Drosophila melanogaster: one gene and its partner. The protein of the gene in region 2 interacts with the protein of the main gene of each other region in a pairwise test. Each region holds a gene or a part of one and is shown on either strand. Other genes may lie near its edges.

Region 1 (3,755 bases), on a different chromosome or scaffold from region 2:
GAGATCGAGCGGGCGCATCAGGTGAGTGTCCTTCCAGGTACCGTGAACTCATGCACATATTAATGGAATTTCAGATGAAAAACTATGGTACTATAGTTTGATTTTAAGAACAGTATATTGCAATTGTATTGTTATAGGATTTATAGAACATTTTGTTTATCTGTATTTATATATATATGCTATCCTAGGAAACCCTGGCACAAATACGCAATCTGAGCGGTAGCGCTCGTCCCGATGCCGAGGCGGTGGAGAATCTGCAGTCGAGAGCCCGGGAACTGGAAAAGAAGGTGACTATATGCCCTCAAATCATATCTACTCAATCGTATTGAACTCTAAAAATCCATAGGTTGCGCTGGAAAATGTGCGCTGCGAGGAGCTGCAAATCGAACTGACGTCGGCTCTGAAGGCCAAACAGGCATCCCGCTCGGCCTGCTCCGGAATGGGGAGCGTGTCCTCCGGTGGCGGCGCGACCATTCCTACATCGGCCAGCAGCTCCACCGTCACTTGGGCACCGACAATCAGCCACCAGGACCAAGGATCCGAGATTGATATCATAATGGCAAAGATTGAGCAGGTATTTAAGTGCAACTAATCTCCTAGGAGTGCAAATGGTATATAGATCTTTATGAAAGAACAGCAACAGCTAACAGACAGCTAGTAGTGTGTGGATAGTGTAGCCTCGAATGAAATTATATTTCGGGTACCAAGTACCAAGTATTCAATCAACGTAAACAGCCAGTGTTGCAGTGGGGCAGGAACGTGTGTTGTGCCTATTCGTCCATGTTGTAGGTCTACTCCTCGGGCTTCTCGGCCAGAGCCTCCTCAATAAAGCAAGTGACTTCCAGCTCACTCAGCAGCGAATTGTTGGATGAGCACTCCGAATCATCCTCCACGCTGCTCGGCGAAAGGCAGGAGAGGAAGCTATCTATGCTGTAGATGCTATTCTCCCGGGTGGCACTCGAATCCAAAGAATCGTTTGGTCCGATCTGAGTGCTACTTTCGCTGGAGCTCAGTGCTCCCTGGCGGAACAGCTCATCGGTGGTACTGATCTGCAACTGACGACGCAACTGCTCATTTTCATCAGTCAGCTGGCAAATGATCTGCTGGTTCTCGGCACTGCTCCGGTCCTCGAAGTCGACAGTTAGCTTCATCACATCAACCATACGCTCGATGCGGGCATCCTGCTCTTCGACCACCTTCGACAAACCGGCCAGGTAGTGCTCCCTCAGTTGGTAGGTATCGATTAACATGTCCCCTTCGCTGTGCTCACGGTACTTCTCCATGATCAGCTCAATGCCGTGTTGGAACTCAACGCCGGTCGCCTTGAGCTCGATGTTTTCCCGCAGCAACTGCATCTGCTCGTCGTCGTCGTTCTTCTCCGTCAGATGCTTCAGCAGCTGATCCTCGCGAAACTTGTGGCAGTTGGCCAACTCCTGATCCACCATTTTAGCATCGATTAGCAGCTCATCGGTCTTGAACTCCAGTTCGTCCAGGCATTTGGCAAAGTCCTTGTACTCCTTGATAAGACCGCTTTCGGCTCCGGATGGCACCGAGCTATCCATCCGTCCAATCTGGTTTGGATTGCTCACGTTGAATTTGGATTTTTTTCTATACAAAATTGTCTACTTCGGACTTCTCAGGGCAGTTGGGGAAATAATAGATCAATGCTAAAGTAATAGCCTATTAAGATGTACATTCAAGTTCTCTAGAGAATTGTCATTTTACTACAAATCTATCTATCCTTATTGCCTAATTGCAGGATAATCGCGTGCTGGCCGAGCTGGAACAACCTCGCACCTCGGCCAGCGCCAGCATGTCAGCATTGCCGCCCAGTTCCATGTTGAGCACGGTAAATAGCGAATTTAGAACCATATCAAAGAGTGGTAAGCAAGCCAGAGATAACACTAATACAGAAATAGAATATAGAATGGAATTTGTAATGCCCGCAGAACTCGAAGAAGAACTGAACCGCTACAAAAGAGCAGTTCTGGGAGGAAGCGGAGGAGGAGGAGGTGGCGTCGGCGGCGGCGGCGGCGGTGTCTCCGCCCTATCCTCCGGCTACTCAAGCCTGCCGCAATCGCTGGCCTCCACGCTGCCCAATGGTGGGGCCAGCACCAGCTTGAGCGGCACCAGTCTTGGCTCGCACAGCGCGGCCGCCGCTGCTGCCGCCCACAGCGTCTCCGCTGGATCGGGAGGCGTGGTCGGGGGCGGCGGCCAAGGCGGCCTATCATCCATATCGGCCCTGGTGCCCAACTCAATCAGCGGCATATCCTCGAGTCTAAGCAGCCATGCCATTCAATCGATGCAGTACGGAACCGGACAGACGTCCGTGGAGAAACTGCTGAGCGGAACTAGTGGAATCACTGGCATTCCACCCCTGCCGGTAAATATTCACACGATGAAGGCTATGCCAACGGCATTAAGTCAGGTAAACCACCTATTTTCAATCGCAATGAACTACGAACAACAACAGCAACCACAGCAATTATGTACCGCTGCCGATCGATTTGCTTAAAAGCTTGCCACATCTAGAAAGTGCTATATATATGCGTTATAAGTTGTATGTAAATTCGATCCGTTTGAGTAGCCATATAGCCTAGCCATATAGCATATAGCATATATAGCGACCATCCGCTTCTGTTGATCGTCGCTGCTGCAGCCACCGGCCGTTTGTTGTAGTCTCATTACTGATGAAAATAAATACATTCACATCGAAAGCCACCCACCGAATATCACATTACACTGAATCACAAACACAACCATTTAAAAACTAAATCGTTTGAGTATCTGTATTCGACCTTTGATTGCCTGTTACATAAGTATTCTCTGTATCATTGAAATCAAATTCGCTGGCATGCTATAAAATTTCATTGTAAATCACTCGTATCGAGGATGGTATTAGTTATAAATGTCACTAATATTATTCAAATGTATATTCATATATCATTGGTCATGCACAAATCGAAGAACTGCTTCTTATACTCAGTTCATTTCTTGCAAGCTAATCAAATAGTTTTGAAGCATTCCTTCGAAGTTCATATATTGTTAAACTGATTGTACACAACCTAGCTCATGCATCTGCTGCATTTACAGACATATACATACTTACTAAGTTTATATCTCTTGAAGGAGTTACATGTTTGAAAGCTTTCCGTTACTCGTTGATAAACTTTTTAATGGTGATGATTGGATGCTAGCCGTGTTGCATAACCACGAATCCTCGCTTGGAGACGGCTTAAGTTAATTGCAGATTCAATAGGCACTCATGACCAGCCGAAAATCACCACCAACATGCTCAGTTGTTCATGCATAGATGTCCATTTAAGACGTTCTAGATGCCTTTTTCCAATGGCAGCTGAATAAACGTGTATCTGTGATCTCTCTTTCCGTTTTATGTGCTTTCTCTGTCTTCCCTTTTTTTCTCTCTCTCTCTATTACTACTACTACTGTAATAATGATGAAATCTCTAACTCGATTCCCATAACTCCGATTATGATTGATGTGCGGTCAAAACGAATCAATCAATCGACTCGATCTATATGTATGTCTGCATCTGTATCTCTGTGTGTGTGATTCTATGTTTGTGTAACAACACCTGTACAAATACCACAAACACAACGAATACCCTGTAAATTCTGAAAAAAAACCCGAATATTCCAAATTCCACACAATACACATACATACTAAACGGCAACTGAAATTAAACCCGAATTGAATTTGAATTGGAAACAAATCAAATTACGAATCGAATTGAA
Region 2 (3,642 bases):
TGCTGTCGATTAATCTAGCCATTTTTTTAAATTGGATCTAGTGAGAATTTTAAAATCGTAATGTTTGGTGTTTTTAACGGGCAACAACAAATTAAAAAGGACAAAAAAAAAATAGAGCACAGATCAAACAAACTTTTGGAACGCTAACAATTCTATATTTCGTCAAAATACAAATATAGTACAAAAAACTATCGACCAAGCCTACTTGCTAATTGGGAATCGAGGCGGCAGGAGCAGCCAGTGGCAGGACCTCTAGCTTATGCGAATCACTGTGATCGCTGACGAAGTGCAGCACTTCGAAGCCCACCTCTACCATGATCAGGATTATGATCATCCACTCGAGCCGGATATGATGGGCATCGTTCAGATTGTGGGACACCAGCTCGGCCAGTTCCACGCAGTGGTTGATCTTCTCGTTCATCACCTTGGTGCGCCGTGAGATGCTGAAGTAGGAGCACACCTGCAGGTAGAGTGCCTCCAGTTCCTCGCGGTCCCAGTAGAAATCGGGTGCATCCAGCAGATCCGACGACAGGTTGATCACATGACGCAGGGCAAATAATTCACCGGTTTTTCGCAGCATGGCCGCCCGCGAGATTCTTAATCGGCGACCACGCTTTAGATCCTCGGTGAGATGCTCTATGGAGTCTATGTAGCGGTCCAGTGTCGCCTCCCACATGCCCAGCTTTATTGACTGTGCCATCGCATTGGAGAAGGTGTACTTATACAGGAAACTATCCGTATCGGCGGTAACAAAGAACTTGCCATTCTGGAAGAATGCCCGTGACGTGACATTGAAGTCGCTGCTCTCCGCCACCAGATCGCCCTCCACATCCACCGCCGTCGATGGAATGTAGGTGTAGGGCATCACCTCGCTCTCCCCGTGAACCAGGGCACTCACATACGATTCCCTTTCGAAGGCGCGCAGGAAACTTAGCACATTGTTCGTCTCGATGTCGCTGCAGTTCCAAAAGACCACCGAGCCCTCGCGGAAGAAGAATATCTCCCGCGGCTGCTGACCCGTCGGATATTTGGCCGCCACAAAGAGCACATTCTGCTCCACGTCCAGATTGTCTGTGGAGAAGAAACGCTTCGTCTCGTACAGGTTCTGTTCGCGGAGGGCTATCTGCAGATCCTCCAGATTGTACTCCTCGGCGGTCGTATAACCACGGGTGTTGAGAAACCCCAAAGCGGACAGTTCATCGATGGCCAAGCGCTTCTTTCGAATGATCCTGGTGCGAATGGGCGATAGTATCGACTCCAAGCGCTCCTCGGCTAGCGGCAATGGCTTTACCCGCGGTTGCGTTTGAGTTCTAGGTACAGAAGCTGCTTGAGCTGGCGCCGCAGCCGATGAGGTGGCTTCACTGGCCAACCATCGGCGGCGGTCCATCATCCACTGCGTCTGCGTCTGCTGGCGCGGAATTCGAAGTCCTCCAAGGACCATCTGCCCGAATCTCAGGCGTGCAAAGTTCATGGCTTTTGATTTATGCTCCAGCAGCAATTAGTGGCCCATTTCTGGGAGTTGAGATCGGTTTGGTAACGAATCGTATCTGGTGGCTATATAATATAGTAGCCGGCCTCCGATTGCCTTTTGTTGTGATTATCGAATCCGATAGGCACTCAGTGGTGAACTCGGTTCTTCGGCCGTTAGTTATTTCTAAGCTATGAATTTTCATTATTGCTTGGTATTTATACTACAAATTTGGTAGTTGAAATTCTGTTATTTGCTTTTTGAAATGCTGTAACGAGTCTTCAACTCATACTACATAAACTTCTGCCAATAGAGACAAATTACTGAACCTGGATACAAAATAGCCAAAATGTGAGAACTGAATTTAAGCGGCCAACCGCCTGCACTGCTCCGATAACGATAGCCATCAGCTGTTTTCATCGCTCCACTTAACCATTTTCTTCCCCATTTGGGGCAAAACAAAACGCAGTAACTACCCCACATTCAGCACGTGCGGCGCCAGAATTCAGGACGCACTGCAGCGGGCGGCAAGAGCAGAAAGCAACGCGGATGTGCAACACCGCTTAGTAGCAACATAAAATGAACGCATTGCGCAACATCTTCACATCGCGAACTCTCAACTATTTGCGCCAGAATGGACAAAACGCGATCCTCAACGCCACCCAGCAGCAACAAGCGGTGGACGCCGTGCCGCTAACCAACGATGCCGAGCAGCACCTAAAATCGTCGCGTCCAGCACCGCTTTCCATACCGCGCTCCATACTCGATGCGTGCCATTTCACGGCCAAGCAGTTTGACCTGGGAGGCTCCACGTCCGGAAACCAGGCGAATGGCTCTCTGTCGCCGACGACACTGAAGCGCTTCCGACGCATGCAACGCCGCATGGAGCTGGTGTACCGCTGCAAGCTGTGCAACACCCGCAACACGAAGACCATCAGCGAAGAGGCCTACTACAGCGGCGTGGTGATCCTACAGTGCGACGGCTGTGCCGTCGACCATCTGATCAAGGACAATCTGGGACTGTTCACCGGCAGCGATGGCGATAGCAGCATTAGCTCTGGAATCAGTACCAGCAAGAATATCGACCAGGTGCTGGCCGACCGGCATGCCCGCGTCCGGGTGATCAAGGTGAACGAGCGCGGCGAGCTGATTTAGGAACTCTAGTCAAAGGGGCATCAGTAGAGGTGAGAACCTGGTGCCGTCAACCTGCGAATCGTGTCTGAGGAGGACACACTCGACACGGGGTGGCACATTGAACCCAAGCAACCAAGCACCCAAGTACCCAACTGCAAACCGGAATCCCACATTCTGTTTCCGAGCTCAGACGGCTGTATATAATAATTGTACTGTAATTGTTGATTGTTTCGGGCCGTGAGTAATGCCTAAAAAAGTGATTAAAGGAACGACCAGTTCAAAAGCAAAAAACAAACATTGTATATGGCTAAATCTGTTATTCCGCTGTAGACTATCTAATCAGGGTGCACAGAAAGAAAAATGTCTCATTGTTGATATAAATGTTAAAATACATATGTATATGTACAATCATCAAGTTTTGGCTACAAGCCATCAATTTTTGTCAATATACGCCGTGCCTATCTTATATTGACCAGGTTTTTTTTTCTGTGTACGCACACGCATATATACTAGACGTGCCCAGTCAAAAGTGGACTCATTTATTTATCTGGAGAGCCCTAGAAGCCGGTAGAAGCCGAAGGGGCTCGGTGGCCGCTCGCTAATTGATCGGATCGATCAAAACACAGCCGGAGTGCTAATTATCGCAACAATAAAAATTGGCACGCTGCCGGCCTGGCTACGCAATGGTGAAATGTGCCGGATTGGTAGGTATAGATACGGCTTTGGGGCTAGACACTAATGCATACCATATATAAATACATATAAGTATGAAAAACACGCCCCTGTCGAGTGATCTTTTCTGCGTCGTAAGGGGCCGCCGAATCCCTAAGAGATATGCCCCCAAATTGGCTAACAACAACGGATTTTGTGCGCTGATGGCATGTGGACGGAAGATAGTAAGCCCACGGAGTCTGTAGTTATTGCCAAGTGGTTCTACCAACTGTTACATCCATCTCTTGACATCTAAATTAATTAACTTCATTTGAAACTTCATTAAGATCTATCCCAATCTGCTGCTCTGCCATAATAAATATTGAAAT

The links.
Region 1: the proteins of CG8206 (region 2) and h-cup interact in a two-hybrid assay, tested with the Drosophila melanogaster proteins (one large-scale study listed by BioGRID).

The regions. Positions count from the first base shown.
Region 1 is NT_033777.3:15,381,308-15,385,062, forward strand, and holds h-cup (heineken-cup), read right to left. Parts: upstream 1,645-3,755; 5' UTR 1,563-1,644; coding exon 792-1,562; 3' UTR 575-791; coding exon of another isoform or gene 347-574; 3' UTR 288-346; coding exon of another isoform or gene 189-287; 3' UTR 100-188; downstream 1-99. Other genes in the region: Rbp (RIM-binding protein), read left to right, coding at 1-21, 189-287, 347-574, 1,760-1,883, 1,950-2,428.
Region 2 is NC_004354.4:15,737,356-15,740,997, forward strand, and holds CG8206 (uncharacterized protein), read left to right. Parts: upstream 1-1,874; 5' UTR 1,875-2,047; coding exon 2,048-2,623; 3' UTR 2,624-3,062; downstream 3,063-3,642. Other genes in the region: CG11679 (uncharacterized protein), read right to left, coding at 209-1,471.